7 linked regions of the Xenopus tropicalis genome follow. The protein of the gene in region 7 binds, or shares a complex with, the protein of the main gene of each other region. Links are inferred from orthologs where the notes say so. Each region holds a gene or a part of one and is shown on either strand. Other genes may lie near its edges.

What was found.
Region 1: thoc1 (region 7) and chtop share a complex: the UniProt entries of both Homo sapiens proteins name them as parts of the transcription/export (TREX) complex. The link is inferred for Xenopus tropicalis from reciprocal best matches to the Homo sapiens genes THOC1 and CHTOP.
Region 2: thoc1 (region 7) and sarnp share a complex: the UniProt entries of both Homo sapiens proteins name them as parts of the transcription/export (TREX) complex. The link is inferred for Xenopus tropicalis from reciprocal best matches to the Homo sapiens genes THOC1 and SARNP.
Region 3: the proteins of thoc1 (region 7) and thoc5 are in contact, whole or in part, in a cryo-EM structure (PDB 7APK), measured with the Homo sapiens proteins. The link is inferred for Xenopus tropicalis from reciprocal best matches to the Homo sapiens genes THOC1 and THOC5. Residues at the interface, in NP_005122.2 of Homo sapiens: Glu60, Arg145, Arg146, Leu147, Ser148, Ser150, Gln151, Lys285, Met286, Leu289, Val296, Tyr297, Phe298, Leu302, Ser304, Leu307, Leu310, Gln311, Ser313, Asp314; in NP_001002877.1 of Homo sapiens: Tyr52, Arg113, Lys120, Asp124, His127, Leu128, Gln131, Asn132, Leu134, Tyr135, Glu136, Met138, His139, Thr145, Lys146, Glu149.
Region 4: thoc1 (region 7) and thoc3 share a complex: the UniProt entries of both Homo sapiens proteins name them as parts of the transcription/export (TREX) complex. The link is inferred for Xenopus tropicalis from reciprocal best matches to the Homo sapiens genes THOC1 and THOC3.
Region 5: the proteins of thoc1 (region 7) and thoc2 are in contact, whole or in part, in a cryo-EM structure (PDB 7ZNL), measured with the Homo sapiens proteins. The link is inferred for Xenopus tropicalis from reciprocal best matches to the Homo sapiens genes THOC1 and THOC2. Residues at the interface, in NP_005122.2 of Homo sapiens: Asn134, Arg138, Asn141, Leu144, Arg145, Lys149, Thr153, Cys156, Gly157, Gln160, Leu161, Ala164, Arg165, Phe167, Gln242, Phe245, Arg246, Tyr297, Ala299, Lys300, Phe301, Arg319, His320, Leu323, Gln324, Ile327, Tyr331, Arg373, Phe374, Lys376; in NP_001075019.1 of Homo sapiens: Leu155, Phe156, Tyr157, Lys158, Gln160, Asn163, Leu164, Leu165, Arg166, Asn169, Glu170, Ala173, Lys174, Ile176, Ala177, Gly180, Gln181, Asn195, Lys197, Ser198, Leu199, Ile200, Gly201, Cys202, Phe203, Asn204, Leu205, Pro207, Asn208, Arg209.
Region 6: the proteins of thoc1 (region 7) and thoc7 are in contact, whole or in part, in a cryo-EM structure (PDB 7APK), measured with the Homo sapiens proteins. The link is inferred for Xenopus tropicalis from reciprocal best matches to the Homo sapiens genes THOC1 and THOC7. Residues at the interface, in NP_005122.2 of Homo sapiens: Leu10, Arg14, Glu46, Gln53, Arg56, Glu60, Ile63, Ile64, Asp99, Asp102, Cys103, Leu104, Pro105, Arg146, Gln151; in NP_079351.2 of Homo sapiens: Tyr47, Gln51, Leu54, Ser55, Ser58, Gln59, Phe62, Gly65, Lys66, Leu69, Val70, Met73, Arg76, Glu77, Asn80, Ile84, Ile88.

The regions. Positions count from the first base shown.
Region 1 is NC_030684.2:144,115,268-144,118,759, reverse strand, and holds the end of chtop (chromatin target of PRMT1 protein), read right to left. Parts: intron 2,213-3,492; coding exon 2,029-2,212; intron 1,952-2,028; coding exon 1,826-1,951; intron 1,342-1,825; coding exon 1,145-1,341; 3' UTR 830-1,144; downstream 1-829. UniProt on the Homo sapiens protein: Plays an important role in the ligand-dependent activation of estrogen receptor target genes. May play a role in the silencing of fetal globin genes.
Region 2 is NC_030678.2:138,209,688-138,214,279, forward strand, and holds the start of sarnp (SAP domain-containing ribonucleoprotein), read right to left. Parts: upstream 2,998-4,592; 5' UTR 2,713-2,997; coding exon 2,680-2,712; intron 682-2,679; coding exon 582-681; coding exon of another isoform or gene 558-581; intron 1-557. UniProt on the Homo sapiens protein: Binds both single-stranded and double-stranded DNA with higher affinity for the single-stranded form. Specifically binds to scaffold/matrix attachment region DNA. Also binds single-stranded RNA. Enhances RNA unwinding activity of DDX39A.
Region 3 is NC_030677.2:144,833,626-144,837,616, reverse strand, and holds the end of thoc5 (THO complex subunit 5 homolog), read right to left. Parts: intron 3,964-3,991; coding exon 3,860-3,963; intron 3,488-3,859; coding exon 3,400-3,487; intron 1,526-3,399; coding exon 1,410-1,525; intron 717-1,409; coding exon 526-716; intron 287-525; coding exon 223-286; 3' UTR 116-222; downstream 1-115. UniProt on the Homo sapiens protein: Component of the THO subcomplex of the TREX complex which is thought to couple mRNA transcription, processing and nuclear export, and which specifically associates with spliced mRNA and not with unspliced pre-mRNA.
Region 4 is NC_030679.2:45,416,799-45,421,320, forward strand, and holds the start of thoc3 (THO complex subunit 3), read right to left. Parts: upstream 2,970-4,522; 5' UTR 2,955-2,969; coding exon 2,703-2,954; intron 35-2,702; coding exon 1-34. UniProt on the Homo sapiens protein: Component of the THO subcomplex of the TREX complex which is thought to couple mRNA transcription, processing and nuclear export, and which specifically associates with spliced mRNA and not with unspliced pre-mRNA.
Region 5 is NC_030684.2:48,870,230-48,874,719, forward strand, and holds the start of thoc2 (THO complex subunit 2), read right to left. Parts: upstream 2,901-4,490; 5' UTR 2,644-2,900; coding exon 2,579-2,643; intron 1-2,578. UniProt on the Homo sapiens protein: Component of the THO subcomplex of the TREX complex which is thought to couple mRNA transcription, processing and nuclear export, and which specifically associates with spliced mRNA and not with unspliced pre-mRNA.
Region 6 is NC_030680.2:145,033,129-145,037,645, forward strand, and holds the start of thoc7 (THO complex subunit 7 homolog), read left to right. Parts: upstream 1-1,576; 5' UTR 1,577-1,615; coding exon 1,616-1,634; exon of another isoform or gene 1,635-1,793; intron 1,794-3,453; coding exon 3,454-3,571; intron 3,572-4,517. Other genes in the region: atxn7 (ataxin-7), read right to left, coding at 1,417-1,576. UniProt on the Homo sapiens protein: Component of the THO subcomplex of the TREX complex which is thought to couple mRNA transcription, processing and nuclear export, and which specifically associates with spliced mRNA and not with unspliced pre-mRNA.
Region 7 is NC_030682.2:108,273,238-108,277,228, reverse strand, and holds part of thoc1 (THO complex subunit 1), read right to left. Parts: intron 3,404-3,991; coding exon 3,337-3,403; intron 3,250-3,336; coding exon 3,199-3,249; intron 3,113-3,198; coding exon 3,042-3,112; intron 1-3,041. UniProt on the Homo sapiens protein: Component of the THO subcomplex of the TREX complex which is thought to couple mRNA transcription, processing and nuclear export, and which specifically associates with spliced mRNA and not with unspliced pre-mRNA.

The sequences.
Region 1 (3,492 bases), on a different chromosome or scaffold from region 7:
GTCCTGCTGGCCCAGACCTGATTCCGACACGGCAAGGGCCCCTGGGGCAGAAGCCTCTGTAAGCCCTGCACCCCCAGTCCGACCCTGAATAAAGCCCCGTTGCACCTCTGAAAGCCCTGCACCCCCAGTCCGACCCTGAATAAAGCCCCGTTGTTCCTCTGTAAGCCCTGCACCCCCAGTCCGACCCTGAATAAAGCCCCGTTGTTCCTCTGTAAGCCCTGCACCCCCAGTCCGACCCTGAATAAAGCCCCGTTGCACCTCTGTAAGCCCTGCACCCCCAGTCCGACCCTGAATAAAGCCCCGTTGCACCTCTGTAAGCCTTGCACCCCCAGTCTGACCCTGAATAAAGCCCCGTTGCACCTCTGAAAGCCCTGCACCCCCAGTCCGACCCTGAATAAAGCCCCGTTGTTCCTCTGTAAGCCCTGCACCCCCAGTCCGACCCTGAATAAAGCCCTGTTGCACCTCTGTAAGCCCTGCACCCCCAGTCCGACCATGAATAAAGCCCTGTTGCACCTCTGAAAGCCCTGCACCCCCAGTCCGACCCTGAATAAAGCCCCGTTGTTCCTCTGTAAGCCCTGCACCCCCAGTCCGACCCTGAATAAAGCCCTGTTGCACCTCTGTAAGCCCTGCACCCCCAGTCCGACCATGAATAAAGCCCTGTTGCACCTCTGAAAGCCCTGCACCCCCAGTCCGACCCTGAATAAAGCCCCGTTGCTCCTCTGTAAGCCCTGCACCCCCAGTCCGATCCTGAATACAGCCCCCTTATAAATAAAGGCACCCCGACAATGGCCGGAACAGCACCACACAATACAAACCCACAGAAAACAAGTTTTTACAAAACGCACAAAACTTTATGAGTGGTATCCAAGTGCAGCAGCATACCGAGGGGCAACGTAAACTTTGCACAAACTGACGGCAATCGAACCCAAGGGGCGGCACGGGGCCGCGGGAACTTAGTGTGCCAACCTGTCGCTCGCCTCCGTACATTCAATGGTTAATAAAATAGAGTCAAAAGAACAAATAGGTATGAAAAATGTAAAAGGAACGCTAAAACCAGGGGGCGGTACCAAAAGGAGGCGTGGCACAGTCGTGCGCGTGCTGGTAAGAGTCTGTTCCTTAGAAATATATAAAAACATTCGGCGGCTCAGTCGTTGGACTCGGGGTCTGCCTGTGCCATGTAGGCGTCCAGCTCGGCATCCAGGTGCCCCTTGGTCTTTGACATGTACGCGTCCAATTGGTTATCCAGCTGCTCCTTGGTTATCGCTGGGCGGGCCACGCCCCTTCCTCTCCCTCGTCCTCTGCCGCGCACAAAGCCCCTCCCTCTGGTCATGCCCCCGCGTCCTGCGCAGAGGGAAAGAGGCTCAGTAAGGGGCTACCACTTAAGGCACACAGCCAGGAGGTGGGGGTAAAGTTTAGTAAGGATCTCAGGTGCAACCAGTCCTGCCTACTGATCATTGGCCACAGACACCCCAGGGTTATATACTAAGGAGAGTATCCCAACACATATGACTGGGACACACAGATACCCCAGGGCTATATACTAAGGAGAGTATCCCAAAATATCTATCAATACCAATGACTGACACACAGACCCCCCCAGGGCTATATACTAAGGAGAGTATCCCAACACATCTATCAATACAGATGACTGGGACACACAGATACCCAGGGGCTATATACTAAGGAGAGTATCCCAACACATCTATCAATACAGATGACTGGGACACACAGATACCCAGGGGCTATATACTAAGGAGATTATCTATCTGGTACCGCCAGGCCCTAAGGTTGATGTACTACACAGGTACAGGATCACGTCACTTACCTCTTGCACTCATACCGCCTCGGCCCATAGCCCCTCTCATCATTCCCCTCCCGGGACCCCCGCGGCCCCGCATCCCTCTCCTCAGACCCATTCTGGCTACTCCACCTCGGCCTCGGAGGTTCTGCCCTGAAGGAGAAGATACAAGTTAGGATTACACGTTCCATAACCCGGCAGTGTTAGGGTGCAGGGAATCCAGAACTAACCCCTCATAGCCATGGCTCCCCTGGCCATTCCTCTCCCCCCGCGGCCAATACGCATCATCCCTCTCTGTGCGCCTCGTAGTCCCATTCCTGCTCCTCTCATCCCTATGGCTCCGCGTACGAGACCTCCCACCGGCCTTCCCAGCCTGGCCTGGATATTGCTCTTACCGAGACGCTGCTTTAGGCTCTAGCGAGAGAAAGGGACAGTGTTAGGCAGGGAAATTCAGTAACATAAGCTACATCCATAGACAGAAGCCCGAGAGCCAATGAGCAGCCTCTATAGAGGCAGTTTCTTCCAATCAGAGATATAGCGGTGCCACCACAGCACCACCCTACACAGTCATGTTCCTGGCCGTTTGGCCGAGGGACGGAGGCTTTGGTGCTAGAATGTTACACAGCCTCCAGTCCAAGCACCGGAGTCCCTATTGCCAAGCAATAGAGGGGGGCAGTGTAAGGCACCCCACTCACTGTAACAGGACACAAGGAGGCATCTATACGATTCCGCTGAGCCTATGTAGGTCAGGCCTCACTTAGTATTAATCAGAGGATCAGCCAACACAGAGGCCATGGGATACCATCAGATACTGTATCAGCCTGGTATCTCACTGAGGCAAAAGCTTCATATAATATATTTATTACTTTACAGTTACTCTGGCATACTAGCCCAAATGGCCCGGAACCCGTCTGGGTTGGTTGGGTGAACCGTGGCGGATCGTTACACTTGTACCTGCAAAAAAAGTTGTGTATTAATAATGGTGTCTTATGTAGTTCTGCCTCTCCCCTCACTCATCTACTGCTTCTGTCTGCTTGCTACTCAGGCGCTTAGTAATGCCTGGGTGTACCCCTGCCTCACCATGGGCCTCTCCTCAGCTACAATCAACTGTATCTTCCAACCTGGTGTTTATATACTTCATGCCCTCAGTCTGTGAGGTTCAGATGCCAACAGGATACTAGTGTTCAGCATAGTTATACATCCCCCTAACTGGCCTTCAGGCTGGGCCCCCTTAGCCCATAACAAGGTTACAGATATATAGAAACATTGGGGTAACAGTCACCCCGCTATAGTTCCAGGGGTACCCAGGGCACAAATAAGCACTCACCCCAAATCCCCCCCTAACTGGCCTTCAGGCTGGGCCCCCTTAGCCCATAACAAGGTTACAGATATATAGAAACATTGGGGTAACAGTCACCCCGCTATAGTTCCAGGGGTACCCAGGGCACAAATACCCACTCACCCCAAATCCCCCCCTAACTGGCCTTCAGGCTGGGCCCCCTTAGCCCATAACAAGGTTACAGATATATAGAAACATTGGGGTAACAGTCACCCCGCTATAGTTCCAGGGGTACCCAGGGCACAAGCACTCACCCCAAATCCCCCCCTAACTGGCCTTCAGGCTGGGCCCCCTTAGCCCATAACAAGGTTACAGATATATAGAAACATTGGGGTAACAGTCACCCTGCTATAGT
Region 2 (4,592 bases), on a different chromosome or scaffold from region 7:
TTGGACATTTTTCATCATTTCTAGATTGCATGATTGCAATCTAGAAAAAAAATCCACAATCCAAAATCACAAGAAAACATAAATGATATGTCCTTCTATGTGAATTATGGTTACTGTTTTTAGCCTCTTACAAAAAAAGTCATTTTAAAAATATAGTTTGTGACACTATTGAAGCAATCTATGTAAATAAATATGATAATTATGGTTCACTTATACTTTCTTAGCTTCAATTTTTAATTGCATATATATATCTGGATATTCCTGTTGGAAGCCAGTCCCTGGCTTCTGCAAAAGGTGTAAACTATATGTGTAGACTTCACATTTCTCTGCAGAGGTATTGCATAATACTCCTGAACTACAAACAAAGCATTCCGTCTAATTTAAATCATGAATAACAGTTTAGTTTAGAGACATAATCTTATGTCCCTGAAGCATGGTTAGATGAAAATTACAGAGGAGGAAAAAGATAGGCCCCACAGAGTTTGTTAGTGTGCTTATGCCATATAAATGCCATTAAAAACAAACATATTTAAAAAAAAACAAAAAAAAAAACAAACAATTTAACAGAAGTTCTTCCGAACCATGTTCCTCTATATAGGCTTGCAGACGGCTGATAAGATCGCTCTTGTTCCCCTTCACCTCTAAGCCACGAGCAAGGCACTCCTGCTTTAGTTCAGCCAACTAAAAAAAAAAAAAAAAAAAAAAAAAAAAAAAAAAAGGGAAAGAAATTATTGCATAAACTAACTTTCCAGGAACAATTATACTTGTGCCAAGAATTCAATATGTTGTTGCAAGAAATAAAATTGGTGAAATTCTCATTAGTAGAGAGAACGACTCCAGAGTGCTTCTGGATTACAGTATGTACAATCTAAGAAAGGGTTGTAATACATTTTTCCCTAATATTCTGAGAATACATTCTGAAAGTACTTTAAAGTGTGAGTAAAACAAAACTAGGGCTCACTAACATAAGTGCTAAATTTTACAAGCAACCAATCAACATTAGTTTTGACCAGTCTACTACTACTAGTGAAATAATGAAAGCAAAACCCTGATTGGTTGCTATGGGCAACTGTTCTGTAGCAATTTAGTGCCTCTCTTAGTGAAGTACATAGGAGGCATGTATGAGGGCGATAGGTCCTCTGTTACCTCACCATAACTGCAAATAAAGCTGGCCTTGTTTCGAATACAACCATGCAAAATACAATATTATAGTCATATGAAGTTACAAGCATAAGCGCAAGTAATTTCTTGCGCACTCTGTCTTAGCTATTTTTGTAAATTCAGATACAATAATCTGTAAAGTGTTAGTAGGTATTTATGCCGTTTAATTTATAATAACTGTACCCCTGTTTAGGTTTCCCCCTTAAAAAGCACTGTATATTTGTGGTGCTACTTAAATAAATCCCAGATAAATCTTGCATCACCACTAAAAAGCTGGATTTATAGGCATGATTCCAGAACTGTTGACAGTGTTTGCCCGTAATCCTATGGTAGATAATCATTTCAGTCATTTCTTGGGCCACTTTAGCAGTTTTAAAGTTAGTTGTTTTAGCCTTAACAAGATTAGTTTAGTTTAAAGGGTTCTTCCACTTAAACACTTTCTGCGCAATAAAGCAACTTTCCAATATACATGAACTTAAATTATTTTAATAATGTCAGGAATCCAAGCCAGGATTGCAGAAAATGTAATCAGATTTGTATTGTTAGTGCTGCTCAATCAGCATTTTTTCTTTAGGTTGAGAAAAGTGGATCTGCTCTCTTATGCAACTCCTTGTATCTGCACCGAAAAGTACAAATTTCTGCCTGCTTTCCCATTTTTCAGGTCAACCTCCACTCCGCTCCATATACCTGCACTTATTCCTATGGTGTGAACTCTTCATCTACTTCGGCTTCCTCTGTCTTCTCTTGGTTCTGGTCCAGGCAGGTGCATGTGCAGAACTTATACACAAAAAGACTGTTTTCCCACTCAACTGCACATGTACCTGCCTAGGCCCGAGAAAAGAAGACAGAAGATTATTGTGGCAAATATGATCCTACCCTGGGCTGGCGCAGTTTCTAGTTAACAGGAACAACGGGCCGGGGTGCCTAACAGTTTTGCACCCCCAGCAATTATAAATTAAGTTCTCCTCTAATGATAAAGAAACTCAATAACACTTGACACATGTAGAGAATCGGTGAATATCCTGAGGGAAAAAAGTTCTGTTGAAACACACAGATGTACCCATTGGTTTGAATTGATCTCACAAAGTTACAATTATTTCTGTAATTCACAAAATACAATTATTTTTGTTTTAAAATTCCAGAAAACAAACTAGAATGGGCACATTTCCTAAAAAAACCCAAAGAATCTAGCTGGGTGAGCTGGGTGGGCTGGGTTACAAACGAGAAATAAATCAGAGCAATTAGCAGCATCTAGCACTGCCATGGAATCACTAGGCCACAAATAAGTTGACAGGATTCTATTACAGGGATTTTATATCAATAGATTCATTTAACCCAATGCTGAAGTCCAACTACCAGCACTGCCTGCGGAAAGCCATTACAAACACTGGATGTAGACAGAACCTATACGGATAGAAGAACCCTGCGCTATTCATATAAAAGGTGCAGTGCCACAAAACGATTTCCAGTTATAACACGAGGCCCCGATAGAAAGAACCCACTCCCTGCGTGGAATACCTTCAGCTTGTGAAGCTCCACAGTTTCCGCCATCTTTCAATCGCCAACTTGCCTTGCGCAGCACAACTCAGGTGCGACACGCGGATTGGTTCGTCGCCCAGTTGACGTCAGTGGAAAAATACGCGCGGCAATTTGGATCGACAGAGGTGGAAGTAACCAACAAATTTCTATTTATCAACTTCCTGTGAGCTCTCTGCCGCCTTCCAGAAAGCAGAACCTCGTCCTTCCAAAAGAAATTAAACAATACAGCCCTATAAGTGAGAGGAGAGACCTTTGGCCTTTACGGGGTCAAGCCGCCACTGCAGAGGTTGGGTCAGTTTGGACCAATCCGCTTTAGAGCTGTGAACAATCTTTCAGCCAATCACCGGGTCTATTTATGCAGCAGACTGAGTGACGCTTTGGGTAACTACTGCCATGTTATTGGAGGTCGGAAGTCAGGAGAAAGCTCACTTCCGTATATCTGCCATCTTAGTTGGGGATAGGAGATAGAAACGCAACTTGAGCACCACCCTCTTACAGCTTCCTCCCGGAAGTGCTTTGTGTTTCCTGGCTACCGGTGACAGGCGGTGGTCTAACTACAGGTGAGAGGGTTAAGCATTATTTATTATTATGCAGGGTGGTTATACTGTGTTGTGTAAAGGCGGTGCTTGACCGGTGGCAGTTCAGAAGCTAGAGGGGTGTATGCTGAACGTGCCTGTCTGTGCGTGACGGCGATCATGGATTTTTGACACCTTATTTTACGTTGCCATTGAGATAAAAGAGGAATTAGGTTTTTTTTTTTAAAAAATAAATCCTTAATTGGGTTATTATCTCTCTCATGACATGGGGTTACTTGCCATCTATGGCACCTGATGGGTAATAAAATACTGCGTTCAAAACATGTTTGGTTGTACCATCACATGCCTTTGTGCGGCTTCTCACAGACTCTTCTGCTTCTTTAAACAAACTATATTGTATGCATAGAAACTGCATGCATCAAGCCCATTCCCCAGCACCACATACACTCAAGAATTCCCGGTGGCGTCCCATAATAAGGGTCTGTAGTTCTTATTGAGCGTCTCATCCAGCCTTGCACTATTAGCTCCACTGAATTATGTAAACATCTGAGAGATTCATTAGCAGTAATTGTTTCCCTGCTTTCATTTCAATGGACAACAATAATGTATGGTTATAGACAAGGACATTTAAGAGTGTATTTGATACCTTTTTATTAACACACTGTCATTAGATCACAAAAAAGTTCATGGAATAACTTTAACAGTTTACTATGGGTAAAAATATTTTTTTAGTTCCAGTGTTGCTCTGTGTGCTGCTTGGTTCGTGGGTTAAATAATTAATACTAATTCAAAAAGAAGGATCCTCAACAGCCAGTCAAAAAGAGCCAAAGTAGATAGGACACAGCCCCCAGATTTAAAGAACAAGCCAAACAGCAGAATCCATACGGATCCCAAACTTCACACAAAAATTAAAAGAAAAAAATTTGCATTTTTATTTAAACATCCATATTAAAAACATAAGATACCCTGGCTTTTTAAAGGGTTGGTATGATAATCCAGCCTGCTCCCATCTGAATTTTATTAAACAATAGGGTTTATTTTAGATTGCATGGCACAGTGCTGTGTGCAAAAAAAAACTTGTGTCAAGTGCTCATTTGGCAGTTGAGTCTGGGTTGCTGCAAGTGCCTGGGCACACAAATCAGCTCTTGAATTAAGTGTTGCTGACATCTTTCCTTAAAGGGACACTGTTATGATTTTTATGGTATACTTTTTATTTCTAAATTACACTGTTTACATAGCAAATAATTCACTCTACCATTTAAAATGTCGTTCTTGAACCAACAAATGTATTTTTTAGTTGTAATATTGGTGTGTAGGCGCCATCTCAGAGCATTGTGCCTGAGTCTGAGCTTTCAT
Region 3 (3,991 bases), on a different chromosome or scaffold from region 7:
TCCCAAGCATGCTTGTTTATTTCTATACAATATCTGTTGATGTACAAACATATTCACACAACCAATCACATCTTTCTCAATCCAGAGCTTAGCTCAATAATTATAAACAAATGAATTATTCTTGGAAAAAAAACTTTTATTCTATGACAATAAGCATTAGTAATAAATGGGCATAAGTCCAAGCAACAGTGGTGGCAGAGAAAATGCTGAAAGAGTTGGAACTCAGCGGTGACTAAAGAATCCTTGAGGGTAATTATACTTGAATGGCTTGGTACGACTCGGCCCCCTAAGACAGAAGGAAGGACAAAGAATAAAAATGTGTAGAACATGCAAAGTAGTCAGAAACAAAGCAAAGAAAAAGGCACCAATATAAAATTTAATAAAGGAATAACAAATAAAAACAATAAGGGGAAAAAATAAATGAATAAAAAAAAAACCTCAATGCATTTCTAAAGTCAGTTGTAGAGAATAACTAGCAAAAGGCAAAAAGGCAAAGGAATGTATATATAATGGGACATCCCTCACCTGAGTAGGCGCAGACAGATCTTTTCTGGAGGAAACTCATGAGGCCCTTCCACACTGTTGTCATGGCGTTCAGTTTCTAGGTAGACATCCAACAGCATGCAAAGCCTCTGAATTTGGTTTGTCAGCAGCTGGAATCCTGGAGGAGGGCCACACAGTTCCTTGAAGTAGACATTGACCTCACTCTCCATAACCTGCCAAAGTACAAATTATTTAAGGTGTTCATGAAATGTATGATCAAAATAGCTTGAAACAAACTAATTAATCTCAGACCTTACACTAATTTACTTTTTCATTTAAGAAAGCCTCACTAAATCATTAATCAGTGTATTAAATTTGAATTACCAAGGCATGTGACTGCATTATTTACCAGTGAACCTATGTCTAATATAACGTCTAACAATATAGTGTATGGACTCACTTCCTGAACCTATCAGAGCTAGGCTGCCTTTAATACAGCTGACATACTTAATCAAGAGGTTGTCGTTATGAAATCTAGAACAGCTAGCTGTGATTTCATTGTACTCTGATAATGGCCTTTATGTTTCCCCATGTTACTTATAGAAGAATTCTAATACTATTCTAAGACTATGTACTTAGCATATCTTTTTGTCCATGGTATTCCTCTGCCACTTCCTACCTCCCTTACACCTTTCCAAATGGTTATTAAGTTGAATTTCTGAAACTGTTTAAACTGTCTGTGGGTTGAAGCATACCCACAGGGGTGTAAAGCATAGTCAGGTCAAGCTGGGGGGTGCTTTAGCCTATAGCCTATGAAGATTTAAGTTATAGGAGCGAAGCTTCACAGTATTTTTGAGGTTTAGAATACAAACACTGAGAGGGCTGAAAACTCATGCATCGATAATAATTATAAAGTGTTTCCTTACCCTGATATTGTCATCATTACTGGATGAGCGTTCTCCTTTCCAGTTTAGGCAGAGGCTAAACACTGGAGGTACAGCACAATAACCAGGGTTCAGAACCACTACTCCATTGAGCTTAGCTATAGAGGATAACAAGCAAATGAAAAAAAGTGTTATATAAAAGACAATTGACTACTGGTTTATCTACAGCCGTTTTCACAGAAATTCTTGTTCCCCTTTGGAGCACAGATCTATGACTCGGGATACAAGTTTTTTCACCACTGCCTATGTACAGTGGAGGAAATAATTATTTGACCCCTCACTGATTTTGTAAGTTTGTCCAATGACAAAGAAATGAAAAGTCTCAGAACAGTATCATTTCAATGGTAGGTTTATTTTAACAGTGGCAGATAGCACATCAAAAGGAAAATCGAAAAAATAACTTTAAATAAAAGATAGCAACTGATTTGCATTTCATTGAGTGAAATAAGTTTTTGAACCCTCTAACAAAAAAAGACTTAATACTTAGTGGAAAAACCCTTGTTTGCAAGCACAGAGGTCAAACGTTTCTTGTAATTGATGACCAAGTTTGCGCACATTTTAGGAGGAATGTTGGTCCACTCCTCTTTGCAGATCATCTCTAAATCCCTAAGGTTTCGAGGCTGTCTCTGTGCAACTCTGAGCTTGAGCTCCCTCCATAGGTTTTCTATTGGATTAAGGTCCGGAGACTGACTAGGCCACTCCATGACCTTAATGTGCTTCTTCTTGAGCCACTCCTTTGTTGCCTTTGCTGTATGTTTTGGGTCATTGTCGTGCTGGAACACCCATCCACGACCCATTTTCAGTTTCCTGGCAGAGGGAAGGAGGTTGTCGTTCAGGATTTCACGATACATGGCTCCGTCCATTTTCCCGTTAATGCGAATAAGTTGTCCTGTGCCCTTAGCAGAAAAACACCCCCAAAGCAAAATGTTTCCACCCCCATGCTTGACGGTGGGGACGGTGTTTTGGGGGTCATAGGCAGCATTTTTCTTCCTCCAAACACAGCGAGTTGAGTTAATGCCAAAGAGCTCTATTTTGGTCTCATCAGACCACAGCACCTTCTCCCAGTCACTCACAGAATCATTCAGGTGTTCATTGGCAAACTTCAGACGGGCCTGCACATGTGCCTTCTTGAGCAGGGGGACCTTGCGAGCCCTGCAGGATTTTAATCCATTGCGGTGTAATGTGTTTCCAATGGTTTTCTTGGTGACTGTGGTCCCTGCTAATTTGAGGTCATTAACTAACTCCTCCCGTGTAGTTCTAGGATGCTTTTTCACCTTTCTCAGAATCATTGACACCCCACGAGGTGAGATCTTGCGTGGAGCCCCAGAGCGAGGTCGATTGATGGTCATTTTGTGCTCCTTCCATTTTCGAACAATCGCACCAACAGTTGTCACCTTCTCTCCCAGCTTCTTGCTAATGGTTTTGTAGCCCATTCCAGCCTTGTGCAGGTCTACAATTTTGTCTCTGACATCCTTGGACAGCTCTTTGGTCTTTCCCATGTTGGAGAGTTTGGAGTCTGCTTGATTGATTGATTCTGTGGACAGGTGTCTTTTATACAGGTGACTAGTTAAGACAGGTGTCCTTAATGAGGTTGACTAATTAAGTAGAAGTGTCTAACCACTCTGTGGGAGCCAGAACTCTTAATGGTTGGTAGGGGTTCAAAAACTTATTTCACTCAATGAAATGCAAATCAGTTGCTATCTTTTATTTAAAGTTATTTTTTCGATTTTCCTTTTGATGTGCTATCTGCCACTGTTAAAATAAACCTACCATTGAAATGATACTGTTCTGAGACTTTTCATTTCTTTGTCATTGGACAAACTTACAAAATCAGTGAGGGGTCAAATAATTATTTCCTCCACTGTACATGCTTTCATACAGCGCCTCTGAGTATTAAGATCATGCCACCATTTACTGCTGCATATTAATGTACATTTAGCATAAAACATCCCATTGATCAGCCCCATCATACCTGTTCCTCGCTCAATAAGCAGATAGAAATACTGATCCGTTTCCTTTGCTAGTCCACACTCTATAACATCTTTTGTATACGGCAGCGCCTGCAGTAGAAAATCCAGGTAACAATACTAATTATATCTATGTATGTACAATAGACAGAGTAATAGAGTAATAACAATCTATTGCTTTCATATACATTACTGCTTGGGGTTTCAGAAGGCAAACTCATATTAAATCATTTTTTTTAAAACTGCCCATATCTGTGCAGTTTAAAAGGGCCCAGTACTCTATATTTTTCTATACTGGCAGAAGCTGCAAAAAACGTAATGTATCAGAGAATCTAACTTTTAGTACCAGGTTCACCTCATATTTTTAGAGAACTTTATGGAGTAATTGCAATCCAATGCAAATCCCCAAAATGGCCATCTGCTCAAGAATCATGTCAGTTTATAAAGTGAAAAGATTTTACTCACTAGATAATCCTCATAGGTGATGACATTCCACTTTGTCAGTCGAGATATAACCTTGGCTGGGAAAAGAGTTTGGCACTCCAAAGATACAGGAATGCTACCATGTTCTGAAATACCAAAGAAATGCTGTCATTG
Region 4 (4,522 bases), on a different chromosome or scaffold from region 7:
TGTCCCCATGCCCACGGTAGTTATTTTCTTTGGTCTAAAAATAAAATAAACACAATCAGAATGAAAGTAGAAATGCAATGTGAGTAGTCCAATAGATAGTAGTCCTGATGTGCCTACTCAAGTTCCTTATTGTCTCTATTCTCCATTATATGTGGCATTGTTTGTGCATCCAGTTCAGCCCTAAGGGCTGTGACACACGAGGATCTCCCCAAAATGCCATTCCACCAGCTAGAATGTAAACCACTGGTGGGATGGCATACACGGTGGCGCGATTTGACAAAGTCACCTTGAGCGGAGTCCTTTGCCTGCAGCAGTGCACTGGGGAAAAAAAAAAAAGGCTGAGTTCTCCTTTCAAATTACCCATAATTCTGTAGGGTCTGAGACCAAGACCGGAGCATGCGCCTTAAAGAGATACTGACACCAGAAATGAAACCATTTTTACATCTGTCATAACATTGTCTTTGCATGCTATTTATAATTTTGCCATAAAAGTATTTGCCCAATGCTTTTACATTCCCTATCTGATCCCCCATGTTCCTCTATGAGGGGGCTGCCATATTTGTCCAGCAGGAGGCCGTTAGCATTAGAAGCTGTAACTGACAGGCTGAGAAGGGACAGTCAGGCTGGCAAAACAGTCAGGTTTTGGGATTTCAAGTAACAATTACTTACAAAAGCAGCCCTATCAGCAAAAAATGATCAACACAACCTATAGCCAACTTTTTATGTAGATTTAGATTTGAAAAAGTTGTTTTTTCGTGTCAGTATCACTTTCAAGTCAGCAGCAGGATTGGTCAGCGTGAGCAAGAATGAGTCAGCAACATGCAGGGTAAAGGGGACAGATTATGTTGGCGCATGCACAGAGACACTGCAGAACTCATAATCCATCATGTAATTCAGAAAAACATGGCGGCGTGGCTTAGCGATACAGACCACGCAACAAAAGAAGTGAATGTAAGTCAGGGAGGCACTTTTTACATAATATAACTTAGCGATTAGGTTCAGCTCAATATAATCTGTTAGTGGGAATAAGCCGGTAAGAAACACTTTCCTTGCTTTTAACATGCACAAATGGCAACACAACCACAGATGCCATGGAAATGCACAGAATTTAGAACTAAAAACTTGAAAAAGAGGCACAGATAAAATATTTTGAGATTTTGTTGCTCTGTAATCAGGTGACTGTTATTAGAGACATAAGGGTCTAAGTACATGTAAAGCTGGCTAAACAATTTGCTCATTTCATCAGAAAGCTAAATGAGTAAATCTCAGCCTAATAGCCTGACCCCACACTAGGCCAAATGAGGGTGATTAGAATGTTGACTTGGGTTGGGCAACGATCTGTTCATTCTGCAGGCCTACACAGACGTCTTGGGCAGAGGATCTTCACCCTTAATAAAAGTGATTTGACAGTGTGCAACCTTTTAGTAATTTGGGATTTTTTTATTTCTATTTATATAATGTCAACATATTCCATTACCCTTGATTAAATCAAATTTATGTCAGTCCCTGTCCCCAGTGGAGCTAACAATCTAAAAATCCCTATCACATTTACATACACTATGGTCTAATCTGCTGTAGGGCTGCCACCTTTTCTGGGAAAAAATACAGTCCTTCCTAATCTGCTGGTATGTGTTTGTAGTGGGGAGGAAAGGTAACTCAGTACCTAGAGAAAAGTAACTAAGGGACAGAGATAGCATATACACCCCTTGCATACAGTGACAGCACTTCCCTGTGGGTGCGGGGGACACTGAGTAAAGTAAATGTAGGTATATGCTACTCACTGTCTCTCAACTTCAGATTAAAGCAGACTGAGAAGTTATTAAAGCTTTGATTATGATGCAAAAGAAACCCCAGAAGCTGAACGTGGGAATGTACTGGGCTGGCAGCCCACCTCAATGCTGAGCAGCACCACAGAAAGGGGTGTGTGTGTGTGTATATATATATATATATATATATATATATATATATATATATATATAATTACATACATACACAGGATTTGCACATAGAAGTCACTGGGTCAAATGAAAATTAATTGCATCAGAGGTTTATTAATTCCAACGTTTCAGCTCCACACAGGAGCTTTCGTCAGGGAGCTGAAATGTTGGAATTAATAAACCTCTGATGCAATTAATTTTCATTTGACCCAGTGACTTCTATGTGCAAATCCTGTGTGTGCCGTCATCCGAGCCTGTATATTGTTTTTGCGCACAGGCACCCAGGTATCAACTTTTAACTAATGGTGTGCTGCTTACTAGCATCTTTTTTATATACATACATACATACAAGTCAACACGACAGCACCACACTCCGAAAGTTGCTACAATGTAGCTGCCCCTGGGCACGGAATACCAAATAGACACCAAATCAAACACAACCAGCACCAAGGGTCTTGTGGTTCAAACAAGTATTAGTGTATTATAATTGCATGTACAACCAACGTTTCGGTACCTTGAAAAAGGTCCCAAAAGGGACCGAAACGTCAGTTGTACATGCAATTATAATACACCAATATTTGTTTGAACCACAAGGCCCTTGGTGCTGGTTGTGTTTCAGATACTACCTGGGTGCCAGTGCAGTTTAACGGTATGCAGATAGGATAGAAATGATAGAAAAAAAAAAATATATATATATATATATACATATATATGCGACAGCGACCCCAACACACGCCTGGGTCTCTGTCTGGCGCTATTACTCACCAGCCGGTCCTTTTCCAGCACAAACACGCTCGCAGTCTTGTCAAAGGAGCCCGACGCCAGGCGCCTCCCATCACAGCTCCAAGCCACCGAATGAACCTTTGCACTGTGCGCCGAGAACTCTCGGGTCTTATTATTGGTTTTGAAATGCTCCTGTATCTCCTGCACAGACATGGTACTTAACCGGAAGCAACGGCCACAGCAGACTTCCGGCTCCGCGTTACCTTGGCGACACAGAGTCGACTTCCGGGTCATTACACAACCGGTTTAGAAGATACTTTTATCATGTGGAAGTTTTATTAAAAGTTGCAGCCCCCGTTTTTATAAACTGTAGTAGTGCCGTGTAACATTACTTTCTATTTAAATAAATACATAACCTACTTTTGTTGGTTGTTTTGCAAGTTTTAATTCAACTAGAGTGGAAAAACTCTGGTATCGATAAGCACTGACAAAAGATTATATTATTTTATAAAAAAAAAGATTATTATTTTATAAGCAACGCAGTTTCAGAACTATTAATGGTATAATATCCGCCTGCGGCTGCGGTGGATCCCAGGGCACAAGAGGACCGGGAGCGGTGGGTCTACTACATGGTAGTTTTGTTTGCTGCGGGCAGTGTATAGGTGGCAGGAGGCTGACGGAGGGAAGGGGCCCCACAGATGTTTGGGAAAACATCTCTCCTCCCAATACATTTTTTATCTATTTAGAATTTATATTGATCCAGGTGGCTGGAGACACGCTATTTACTAGGTCTCCAAACACTGCTCATTCTGATTTAACTAGCTCGTTATTTCGAGCTAGCCATTTCAGTAATGGGTGCTTAGTCTAAGAAAAGGTGGTTAAAGTGAGGTCCCCACGGTATGGTTATACATGGAAAGTATGACAGGTATTGGCAGTATCATAGATAATGTATGCATACCTCCCAACATTTGAAAAACAAAAAGAGGGGCAATTTTTGACCACGCCCACTTTTGTGACCACGCCCCAATTAACACACCCCATTTTTTTCTAAAAATACTCCTTTTATATAGTTGAAATGGTGGGATCAGATGCAAATGTGCTATACCCTCATACTGTACTACCTAAGGAAGCCCACAGAGCCCCCCATACACAGTGCCCTTCATACACAGAGCCTCCCCATATACAGTACCCCCCATACACAGTACCCTTTATATACAGTACCCTTTATACACAGAGCCCCTCCATACACAGTGCCCCCCATACACAGTGCCCCCACATACACAGTGCCCCCCATACACAGAGGCCCCCCAAACACAGAGGCCCCCCATACACAGTGCCCCTCCATACACAGAGGCCCCCATACACAGAGGCCCCCCAAACACAGAGCCCCCCATACACAGAGCCCCCCAAACACAGAGGCCCCCCCATACACAGAGGCCCCCCATACACAGAGGTCCCCCATACACAGAGTCCCCCATACACAGAGTCCCCCATACACAGAGCCCCCCAAACACAGAGGCCCCCCCAAACACAGAGGCCCCCCCATACACAGAGCCCCCCAAACACAGAGCCCCCATACGCGCTCCGACTCCTTGCGCTGCTTCTCTCCTGTGGCTCCTTCGCCGGCGGTCCCTGGCCCTTTTATAAGGTTGCGCCCCGTGTGTACATGTGACGTCATTACGCACGGGCGCAACCTTATAAAAGGGCCAGGGACCGCCGGAGAAGGAGCCACATGAGAGAAGCAGCGCAAGGAGTCGGAGCGCTCATCCCGCTGTCACGGATCCTTCTATGAATGTCCCGCATTTCCGGAAACCAACCCGGGACAGGGGGATGAGCTATAGAAAGCGGGACTGTCCCGCTTA
Region 5 (4,490 bases), on a different chromosome or scaffold from region 7:
AGGCACCCCTTAATGTGCCATGGTGATAAACAAAACCACTACCCTGGGCTTTGGCTTCGGATTATTTGTTTTACAAGGGCACTGTTGGCATTGACAAAGAGGAATAAATTAATGTTCATGATATTAAAGAAACAGTAACCACAAGTGCCCCAAAGGTTATGAATGCCTGCTTAGATTTACTAAGTAAATAAAGGTGAAATAAGTCACCTAAATATTAATTCCCTAACTGGTTATGTCCTTTAAAAGAACCCCTGCATTGTCTCCATCATGTCATGTTAAATATTGCAATGCTACTGGGTAAGCCACATACTTTTCTGCTTTAATTAAGACCCACAAGTCATTGTCACCAAAGAGAAACGCTCATAGAGACTGCAGGCCGGATCTGCTTGGTAACACTGGCCATCTGTAGGATACAGCAGTAAAATGTGTTCAGAAAGCCTATGTTATCCCTGCTCAATTTACTGCTTAATTTTCTTGCAGTACTGTCCAACATCTGCACCCTGAGCAGCTCCAGGATAAAGGCCTTAGCGGGTTCATTTTAGGATGTAGAATGACAGTGCAGGTAAGTAATCACGCAGCGGTGCAGGAAAAAAACCTGATTTCACAATACTCTAACCGAAGGAATGACACGTGATCATGACAAGTGTTGATACTACTTCTATAGGTAATGAAGATATTTGCAGGGAAAGATCAAACACACCAAGTCCAAGAGAGTAGGGGTTGAGGGGGTCAACAAACGTTACTATACTAACTCAGTAGAATAATTTACTTATATAGCACCAGTGGTGCACCCTGTGCCTAACAATGTATAACTTACAATTGTGTAACAAAGATTATAGAATAAAAACTGGATCTTAAGAGCATACAATCTAAAGGGGTGAGACAATGTGTATACTGACAGAGAGCTCATCTAAACAAGAAGCAAATAAGACACCACATAATGTATTTCATACAATCAGTGCAGAGAAAAATACCAATATTTCCATTGGCCATTTCTGTTGAGAGGGAGACCATGAAAACTGGGGCAGGCAGATGCCTACACTATGGATACCATGTCTCTTAAGGGTTCTCAGCGCAGCGCCCAGCCTAAGGGTTCTCAGCGCAGCGCCCAGCCTAAGGGTTCTCAGCGCAGCGCCCAGCCTAAGGGTTCTCAGCGCAGCGCCCAGCCTAAGGGTTCTCAGCGCAGCGCCCAGCCTAAGGGTTCTCAGCGCAGCGCCCAGCCTAAGGGTTCTCAGCGCAGCGCCCAGCCTAAGGGTTCTCAGCGCAGCGCCCAGCCTAAGGGTTCTCAGCGCAGCGCCCAGCCTAAGGGTTCTCAGCGCAGCGCCCAGCCTAAGGGTTCTCAGCGCAGCGCCCAGCCTAAGGGTTCTCAGCGCAGCGCCCAGCCTAAGGGTTCTCAGCGCAGCGCCCAGCCTTAGGGTTCTCAGCGCAGCCCCCAGCCTTAGGGTTCTAAGCGCAGCCCCCAGCCTTAGGGTTCTAAGCGCAGCCCCCAGCCTTAGGGTTCTAAGCGCAGCCCCCAGCCTTAGGGTTCTAAGCGCAGCCCCCAGCCTTAGGGTTCTAAGCGCAGCCCCCAGCCTTAGGGTTCTAAGCGCAGCCCCCAGCCTTAGGGTTCTAAGCGCAGCCCCCAGCCTTAGGGTTCTAAGCGCAGCCCCCAGCCTTAGGGTTCTAAGCGCAGCCCCCAGCCTTAGGGTTCTAAGCGCAGCCCCCAGCCTTAGGGTTCTAAGCGCAGCCCCCAGCCTTAGGGTTCTAAGCGCAGCCCCCAGCCTTAGGGTTCTAAGCGCAGCCCCCAGCCTTAGGGTTCTAAGCGCAGCCCCCAGCCTTAGGGTTCTAAGCGCAGCCCCCAGCCTTAGGGTTCTAAGCGCAGCCCCCAGCCTTAGGGTTCTAAGCGCAGCCCCCAGCCTTAGGGTTCTAAGCGCAGCCCCCAGCCTTAGGGTTCTAAGCGCAGCCCCCAGCCTTAGGGTTCTAAGCGCAGCCCCCAGCCTTAGGGTTCTAAGCGCAGCCCCCAGCCTTAGGGTTCTAAGCGCAGCCCCCAGCCTTAGGGTTCTAAGCGCAGCCCCCAGCCTTAGGGTTCTAAGCGCAGCCCCCAGCCTTAGGGTTCTAAGCGCAGCCCCCAGCCTTAGGGTTCTAAGCGCAGCCCCCAGCCTTAGGGTTCTAAGCGCAGCCCCCAGCCTTAGGGTTCTAAGCGCAGCCCCCAGCCTTAGGGTTCTAAGCGCAGCCCCCAGCCTGTGTGCACAGCTAGCAGCAGGAGGACCGCCTTTCCCATTAACAGCAGGATGGCCTTGCAGTGAAGCCAATTAACACGTGCCCTTGCCTAACTGATTGCCTGTCGGGGCCCTGACTCACGGAGGGGCCAATCCCGCAGCCATAGTGCATGGAGGGATCTCGAACCTCTGGCTCCCAATGAACTATAACTTGCACCATTCTATAGCAGTGAGTAGCGGGAGCCGCCGCCTGCCCTTAAAGCCTGGCGGCCTCCCCTTGCTCGGGAAAAGGCGGGTATCCTAGGGCTCGGTTCCCCCATCCACGGCCGCCTTTCACCTCCCGCTCTGTCATCGCACTAAAACATATTTCCATTACTTACAAGTCATTTTTTCCGGATTTTTCCCAGTTCTTTATCCAATCAGCGGGTAGTAACGTGGCCGCCATCTTTCCCTGTACAGTCCCGATAGCCCGGATGTTTAGCAGCGCAGGTCAAAGTGGGAAGCTGGCGCCGCAAAGCATGCTGGGTAGTGGGAGGTGAGTCCCGGCGCTTCTCTCTTACAATAAGGAATGAGCTGGTGCTTTCGCTTCGCTCAGTATCGGGGAAGCAAACGCGTCCCTGTGTCTGTATAGTTTGCACTGAGGCTTCAGCGTTACCGGCTACATATAACTGTCTCTAACGTGTCGGTGACTGTTGTTTCTCACAAACCCAGGGGCGGGCCCTAGGACCGGTGTGGCTGCCTTACTGCTACTTTTTTTTTTTTTCTTAAAGTGGAACTCCACATAATTTTTTTGTTTTATAATAAAATGTTTTAAAGAAATGTAATTCCAAGTGGCTTTCCAATATGCATTCATTAAACATTTCCATTGGTTTTAAAGTTGAGTGTAAATGTAATTGCTATTAAAAGCAGTGTTTATACCTTTCTTTGCTCTGGGTCTGAGGGTAATAGGATTTTTAGCTTATCCACATCTGGAGGGCCACTAGTTGCTGATGCGCCTAATGTGCCCTAGTACTGTGATCCCCAAACAGTGGCTCCCCCACACCTTAGTGCCCAGGCTTTCCCCCCCAGCGATATACTTTGGCTCCTCCCCCCGTACGTACGCAACGCAGCGTACATACGCATACCCAATAAACGCACCGCACTTCCGCATTTAACATCTTAGACACGGTCCACCAGAAATCCATGGGGGATCGACTGGTGGACCGCGAATGCCATTTTGGCCACCCCTGCCTTAAATGTTGCTCTCAGTGGCCTCAAAGCAGGTGCTTATTTTTAAATTCCTGGTGTGGAGACAAGTTTTGGTTGGGTAAAAACCAGGTGTACTGCCAAACAGAGCCTACTGTAGGCTGCCAGTCCATATAGGGGCTATCAAATAGCCAATCACAGCTCTTATCTGGCAATCCTGGGAACTTTTTGAATGCTAGTGTTGCTCCCCATCTCTTACATTTAAATGTGGCTCATTTGTCCAAAATTTTGGGGACCCCTGCCCTAGTGGTTAATGACACCCAGCCTGCTCAGGGATTCCACAGACTTATTTTTATGATATAATTTTCTTCTAAATGTAATAATTCATCCTACTCTGCTGAAAATGTTGAATACCGTTGTTTAATAATACACAAAACAATAGCACGTTGGGGTTTTGCCTCTGATTCTTTTAGGATAGAAACTCAAATCATATATTTAAGATCAGTCAATGATTTCCATGTAATGGACCAGTTAGCTCAATATTCATAGGAGACATCATATCATCATGAAAGGTATCCTTTATGTTTATGTGATGTCTCCCATGAATATCAAGCTAACTGATCCATTACATGGAAATCATTGACTGATCTTAAATATATGATTTGAGTTTCTATCCTAAAAGAATCAGAGGCAAAAGCCCAATGTACCATTGTTTTGTGTTTATTCACGTTCCCATTATAAAACAATGGCATTCAACATTTGCCCAGCAGCCTTTGGAGCCCATGAGGGCCATGTCCAGCTCGCAGGATGAACAGGAATTGAAACTTGAGAAAATACCAGACTATTTTTAAACAAAGTACTATATTAACACATACTGTAGGTAAGGTACACAGCCATACTGAGTTAATGCTTTCATTAGTCTCAGTTGCACAGCTTTGTTTTAGAGCATGTCAAAAGAGGGAGTTCCACATATTTAAGCAGTAGTCTCTTATGTTTCATACGTAGAGAGTGATTTACATTCCATTCTTGGGAAGATATGGAATGTTTTCCTTAGAAAACCTCAGGGCAATCATATCTAATAATATTACTATCCATAATAACCTTCAC
Region 6 (4,517 bases), on a different chromosome or scaffold from region 7:
TAGTGTAAGTAATGGGGAGTACTAGTGCTAGTGTAAGTAATGGGGAGTACTAGTGCTAGTGTAAGTAATGGGGAGTACTAGTGCTAGTGTAAGTAATGGGGAGTACTAGTGCTAGTCTAAGTAATGGGGAGTACTAGTGCTAGTGTAAGTAATGGGGAGTACTAGTGCTTGTGTAAGTAATGGGGAGTACTAGTGCTAGTCTAAGTAATGGGGAGTACTAGTGCTAGTGTAAGTAATGGGGAGTACTAGTGCTAGTCTAAGTAATGGGGAGTACTAGTGCTAGTGTAAGTATTGGGGAGTACTAGTGCTAGTGTAAGTAATGGGGAGTACTAGTGCTAGTGTAAGTAATGGGGAGTACTAGTGCTAGTGTAAGTAATGGGGAGTACTAGTGCTAGTGTAAGTAATGGGGAGTACTAGTGCTAGTGTAAGTAATGGGGAGTACTAGTGCTAGTGTAAGTAATGGGGAGTACTAGTGCTAGTGTAAGTAATGGGGAGTACTAGTGCTAGTGTAAGTAATGGGGAGTACTAGTGCTAGTGTAAGTAATGGGGAGTACTAGTGCTAGTCTAAGTAATGGGGAGTACTAGTGCTAGTGTAAGTAATGGGGAGTACTAGTGCTAGTGTAAGTAATGGGGAGTACTAGTGCTAGTCTAAGTAATGGGGAGTACTAGTGCTAGTGTAAGTAATGGGGAGTACTAGTGCTAGTGTAAGTAATGGGGAGTACTAGTGCTAGTGTAAGTAATGGGGAGTACTAGTGCTAGTCTAAGTAATGGGGAGTACTAGTGCTAGTGTAAGTAATGGGGAGTACTAGTGCTAGTCTAAGTAATGGGGAGTACTAGTGCTAGTGTAAGTAATGGGGAGTACTAGTGCTAGTGTAAGTAATGGGGAGTACTAGTGCTAGTGTAAGTAATGGGGAGTACTAGTGCTAGTCTAAGTAATGGGGAGTACTAGTGCTAGTGTAAGTAATGGGGAGTACTAGTGCTAGTGTAAGTAATGGGGAGTACTAGTGCTAGTCTAAGTAATGGGGAGTACTAGTGCTAGTGTAAGTAATGGGGAGTACTAGTGCTAGTGTAAGTAATGGGGAGTACTAGTGCTAGTGTAAGTAATGGGGAGTACTAGTGCTAGTGTAAGTAATGGGGAGTACTAGTGCTAGTGTAAGTAATGGGGAGTACTAGTGCTAGTGTAAGTAATGGGGAGTACTAGTGCTAGTGTAAGTAATGGGGAGTACTAGTGCTAGTGTAAGTAATGGGGAGTACTAGAGCTAGTAATGGAGTGCCAGTACTGGTATAATGGCAGCAGGTCCCAGGGCAGCACGGATTGCAGTGCAGTTATGTAGAAATATAAATACTCGGGGCAATAATCATGTCAGGAATGAGGAAAGGGAATGGGGCTGTGACTCCCAGCTGAGTGGCACTTACCTGCGGGGCCCGGGGAGGCCTGCCTGGGGCTGTGTGTCCGGCTGTGGGCAGGAGGCGCTGGGCCGCCCGACACTGGGGGGAGCTTATAGGGAAGGCGAGGCGGTGACCGAGGCCTCCATGCTCCTGCCTGTCTCTCCGGCTGCTGCCGCCGCTGCTGCATTCTGGGAGTCTGACCTCACTGCTACTCGCCGCCACCGCCATGGGAGCCGTCACCGACGGTAAGTACAGCGCCCTCCTACCCCACCGCCTACACCCTCCGGCTCGGCCTCAGCTCTGCCTGCCCGGGTACCGACCGCGGGAAACCCACACCGGCCGGCTAGGCCGCAAAGCCCCGGGCTCGAGTTAGGGCTCTGGGGGAAGGAGAGCGGTACGGACTTCCGGCCCTACTCCCCGCTCAGCGTATCTTATATGGATAATATTATATATATATTTATGTAGTGCTACTTAGTCTCATATGGATAGTATATATATCGCTGCTGTATCTATCCTAGGGACAATATATATTTATACCGCCACTGTTATTCTGTATGAATGGATGTACTCTGTCTCTATCTTATGGGTATGATATATATATATAGTAATCTAATCAGATAATCTGTCTATATCCTAATGTACATGTACCGCTGTGTATATATCCTATGGATACTTTTATGTATACAGAGATTTCACCTACTCACTTTTTCACTGTTACTGGTGACTTAATGGGTCTCATTGACTGTTAGCTACACACACAGGGCACTCAAGTAGGGTTTTTATAAAGTTGCCTGGCATAAATTGTAGACAGACTGCTATATATTTTATATTATTTTGTATCAATAAACCAGTCACCATTGCCCAAGGTGCTAGGGACAATTTACAGCCACTATTATTTTGTATGAATTATATTTATGTACCTTTACTCTGTCTCTATCTTATAAATATGATAAATGTAGTAATCTAATCAGATAAGCTGTCTATATCACAATATAATATACATGTGCTGCTGTCAATAAATCCTATGGATACTTTAATGTATGTATACAGAGATTTCACCTACTCACTTTTCACTGTTACTGGTGACTTAAAATGGGGGTCTCATTTGCTGGCAGCTACACACAGGGCACTCAGGTGGGATTATTTTCTATTGTTGCCTTGCATAAATTGCAGATAGACTGCTATATATTGGCACAGGATATATGATATGACCATGTATCATTTTGTATCAAAAACCAGTGACCATTGCCCAAGGTAGTTTGTTTGGCCAGATAATCATAATAATATGTGAATCTGTGTATTTCTATATAATGATCAGCACCCTCACAAGTCTTTTTAATTTCATTTAGAGCTCATGTTATGATCAGTTTAGTCAGCCTTTCAGCCATGGTTTATAGCCCTCAAGATTCTGAAATTTTATGTCAGACTGAACACCACACAGTTCTTTTTATAAGATGTCAGTCTTATAAGGGAGATCAGTGATACTGTCAGGCATTTTTAAGACCACGTTCCACTTTACAAGAAATGGTAATATGGAATATTGTTTTTCCAGGCCACTCATGGGAAATATCATTATCTCCCTGATAGTATGGGGTTAAGTCTATTAAATATACCTGTTGGGTACCCTGCACCCTCTTGGTCTGCTATCTCTGTTGTTAGGTTTACCTTTGCCTCCTTAACTAAATGGTGATCAGCTTTCCATCTGCAAGAGTCCTCCATTAGATTTCACAGGCTGGCCAAACCACATATCCACACTTATTCATGAAATTTAGATATGTTTGATTTTTGCAGATGCAATGTTTCTAAGCAAAATTACTTTGACAATTCCTTTGAATTAAGTCCAGGTAACTTGGTACTTGGCACCAGTATGGCGCACATATACTGCCACCTGGGATGTCTCTCTCTGTGGATCTAGAATTCTTGGAGATGCTAGGCAGGGTATCCAAATCTATCCTGTTCTGTTACTGTATAACTGCTTGATGGTAACCTTCTCTTACACAGTGACCTGTCTTTGTGCAGCAGCAATAAAATCCACTATTTCCATTTCCTTCTGTTCTTTTCCAGATGAAGTTATCCGCAAAAGACTTTTGATTGATGGAGATGGTGCCGGAGACGACCGAAGAATTAACTTATTGGTAAAGAGTTTTCTGAAATGGTGCAACTCGGGTTCCCAAGAAGAAGGGTAAGAGGCACCAAGTGACTGTGGCAGTAGTTCCACAATGTTATTTTTATTAGCAGAACTGAAGCTTCAACCAGTTTCTAATCATGTCTGGGAAAAGTATGATTCCAAAATTATTGCTTGGTAAAATTCTTTGTGGAGATTTCATAATTATGGAAAATTCATTTTCCCTCTGGAAGAGAAAGCAGCAGAAAATATGTATAAATGTAAGGCCATCATTGCTGAGTAATCTGTGCTGAAACAGTCCAACAGGAAGGGCAGAATCCAGGTTACTCTGAAAGGAGATTTTGAACCCCATGCTTACCAAAGATTGCTATTGGTTTTTTTTAATTTTACTTCAGTGTCAACTGGGTTGCAAATGTGTTTATAAGATAACTGCTAAGTTGGAAACCAGATGTATATATGAAACTGAATGTTTATGGGACCACTAAAGCCATACTAAAACTCTACTGAAAGGTATGATAAGTGGAAAGGCTGCTGTCACTTTGCCACTTCCCAGCGCAATGAGGTAGCTCAGTGGATTGCAGATGGGTTGCCAAGTTTAACTAATTACATCTCTTGGTGACAAGGAAGGACGAAAACAGTTCTAATGTCCCCTAGGAAAGCACTAAAGTGAGTCTTGCTGGGCAGCCAGAAAAGGGTAGGGTTGTATTTGTCTTTTTTTGCTTCAGGTAAACATAAAGGTCTGGACTATTCAACTGAAAGCCCGTGGGTTAAATATGACCTGCTACATGGTCAAGAGCTCCATAGGCCACATCTGATGGCATCATTGTGAAATGAGATTGTATGCTATGGGCCAGTTAACAGCATGCAAGTGACAGGTCTGTTAATCACGTAACATACAAGGGATTGTGGGAATTGGAGAGGACAGCTGAATACTGCTACACTGTTTTAATAATATTTGTAGTTGGGAAAAGGACAGAAATTACTTCCAATAGCAATTAGATAT
Region 7 (3,991 bases):
TAAACAATACAGCCCGATTACAGGCTGAATCTGAGGTGGGAACCATGCAGGGGGGGCAGTTAATCTCAGTACTGATACCATTTAAAGCTTACACAAGAGTAAGCCATCAAAGCAGCCAGACAGGTGGGGGGCCACACAGAGGGGGGTCGCGGGCCGCCAGTTGGACAGCACTGATCTAGAGGGTGTCCTCAGCCTGTCAGCAATGGGCAGGTCAAAGAAAGTTTGCACTCCACTGAAGTTAACAGCACTTAATAGTGCAATGAAGCATATACGATTTTTTCGCACTTTAAAAAGCACAATACGAAAAAATCGTATTTAATACAATTTTTTTGTATCGTGCTTTTTAAAGGTACGAAAATCAAACTTTGATAAATCTGCCCCATAGAGTCTGACCCTGGGGGAAGGTATTTGATTTGTAAGCTGAATAATGCAATCTTTATGCCCCTATCTCATCCCAAATTAATTTCTTAACCCCTCTTTTTAATAAAATTACCAAACAAAAGTGTGTTTACTGTAATAGGTGGAGATTTTAATTTAATATTAGATCTTAATTTAGATACTACCTCTACTTCTAATAAATTCCAACCTCAAAAATCTACAAAGGGTAGAATAAAAGAAAAAGTTACCGGTTTCACTAAGATTAAACTCCATCATAATTTATATGTTTGGAGGATTTTTAATCCTAAAACTAGGGATTATACATTTTACTTTCATCCTCACGATATGTATTCAAAAATGATTTTTTTTTACGTAGATAAAATACTGCTCCAAGGCTTAAAGAAAGCTGCCATAGGTACTATAACGTGGTCAGATCACGCTCAGAAATATTAATGAACCCACAAAAAATATTCCAACAAGTATATGAAGACTAAATGAGGCTTTATTGAGTAATTTAAAAGAGAGTTTTATTCTAAATGTCTACAAGAATATTTTGAACTTAATTCATCTAATGATACTTCTATGAATACTCAATGGTGTGCCCACAAAAGCTAAAGTTAAATCTAAAATAAGAGGGATAATGGTAAAATTATATCTAACCCCTTAGATATTGCAGAAGCGTTTGCTCAATATTACCTACCTATAATTTAAAAGAGGATAATACAATGATTCAACCCAATCCTCAAAGCATAGATTAATTTCTGATATTTGAACTGCAGATCAAATAAATATCTTGAATTCACGATTTCTCAACAAGAAGTAGAAGATGCCATAAAAACTTCTCCTTTAAAAAAAAAGCCTGGACCAGATGGTTTACCAGTATTATATTACAAGTTATTTGCAAAATTACTAGTCCTAAAATGAACAGAATTGTTTAATACTATACTATCAGGAGGCCATTTTCCGGATGAAATACTACAGGCTACAATAACGGATAGACCAAAAGAGGGGAAAGACCCAACAAAGATACCAAAGAGACCAATTTCTTTACTAAACTGTGATTTAAAATTTTATTCAAAATTTTTTTCAAATGGGTTCCAAGATATTCTAACTGAGGTCTTGAATAGTGACCAAGTGGGTTTTATTAAAGGCAGGCAATCCACTGATAATACTAGATTTATAGATTTAATACATACAATTCACAAGTCTCTAAAGATAATCATTTATAGATTTAATACATACAATACGAATCGGCTCTAAAAATCATCATATAGGTTTATACACTATGTCTATGACATTATTATAGTACTATCTAATCCTAAAGAGAGATTATCCAAATTTAAACAAATATTACAAGAATTTGGAGACATTTCTTACTATAAAATAAATGAGAATAAATCTCAAGCTATGATGTTTAACATACCACTTAAAGATCAATCTCCATTAAAACGTCAGTTTAAATTTCACTGGCGGAAAGATTATACATTTTACCTGGGTATAAAATTAACAAAACATCCAGAAAAATTGGGCCATTGATTCAAGCTTTTAAAGATTAAATAATTACATAGAAGCCCTTATTTATTTCTTGGATGGGAAGAATTGCTGCTATAAAAATGCTGTTGTTACCTAAACTACTATATTTGTTTTGTACTATCCTTATTTCAATCCCCTCCAGTTTGTTTTTTTTTGTAAGATTACTAATGTGTTTTACCAATTTATCTGGAATAAGAAAGAGTATCCTAGCGTATCCAAATCTATTCTTCAAAGAAATAAAGCAGGTCTTGGAGCTCCAGATCTAAAGAAATACTTCAAAGCCAATATACAAACTATAGACTTATTTATCCATACAGTCACAAAAAAAATGGGTAGAAATTGAAACTACTCTTCTGAAACTATTTTCATGGGATAAACTACTATGGTCAGATGGTAAAGGTGTTAAGAATAATTACATAGATTTGCCTCCTACATTGAAAGTTGCAGTCAAAATTTGAGAAAAAGCATAATTGATCCATTATACTCTCCTTTTCCTTCTCCATTGGCACCAATTTCTATTTTGGAACCCATTCTGAAAACGGGTCTTAAAAGGTTGGAGTAAAGATTTTTTAAAAGAGTATTAACTTGTCGGAGGTGTAACAATGAAATAGGAGAAATGTTGCGCATTATGGTGGTCCTGTTCTACTATCCAATCCCTCTGGACTTCAGCATTTTCTCTAATATCGAATTTCATCTCACAAGATTTTGTTTTATCTCCGGAAGTGGTGCTATTTAACATTTATGACAAAATTCCTAACAAAGCTCTGGAAATAGTAATTTTTCAATTATCAAATACAGTCAGACTTTTAATTGCTAGAAATTGGAAAAAACAGGAGGTTCCAAACATTTCCCAGCTGATGAGAGAAATTAGCAGTAATGTAGTATATGAAATGGCAATTCCAATAAATATTTAGGAAAGAACATTCATACAGGAAGCTCAAAAAAATATGGAAGAATATTTCTGGTGTCAATACTATAACTATAGTTATGTGTGTGACATTTCTATTTGTTAAGTTACAATGTTTTACTTTTCTCTTTGCAGATACTGATAAAGTAAGCCGTGTAAGTATTATGGTTTACATGTATTGTAAAAACTTATAAAAAGTTGGAAAATAAAAAAAATGCCTTACCTTTCCTTTACAAAACTTGGACAGCCTTCGTTTTTCCATGCGTTCCAGTTTTCTTCAGTATTCAGTATATGCTGAAACAACATTTCTGATTCCGTTAGATCAGTTATAATACTGTATAGCTATTCACCAGATCAGAAGGCTGAAATTATAATCTTACCTCCACTGTTTTAGAAAACTTTTCCCCAACTGGAGGTGTTTCAGAAAGCAGCTGTATGATGGGAGAGAAATGAATCACATCTGGTTTTCAGGTAGGAAATGACTCATAAAAACAGTAATACTCTATAGTTACACACACCTGATGGACAAGCTTGGTGGTGTCCTCAATCCAAAGAGACTGTTCATCTAGAAGAATATAATTGGAACTGAAATACAAAATAGACAATGTAAGAAAAGCTCTATACCTTAAATCTATACACTATCAAGCCTATTCTCAGCGAGCCCTTAATACTTTCCCTACTTATTATAAACCTTAGATACAAATACATTGTTACTGTTCCATGTTTGATTCAGGTTTAGAATAAGAGCCACTAAGATTAAAGTGCACCTGCCATTGTGTGAAGACCACTCCCAAGCCAAAGTTGAGCCTTTTGGCAACACAGACCATCCTACACAGCAATGTGATTTAGAGTTGCATTTGGCAGCGAGATACTTTATAAATTTAAAGAGGGATAATGCATTCACTGTGGGTATTCTTATATACAATTTAGAAATGGCCACGCAACACACAATCTGAAAATGTCACGTAAGAGGGTCTTTAGGCAGATGAGGTACAGTATGTGCAACGCAACAGACCTTGAACAGCACTTTTTGGCATAAGATTATGCTCTTTTGCATTACTATGTACTGAAAAGATAAAATAGAATTATTTTCTAAGCATTGTTCTATAAATGGGCCAAATTCTTTAATCTCTTGGAAACGGCTGGAAACCAGTGTACACCAAATGTTTGTTA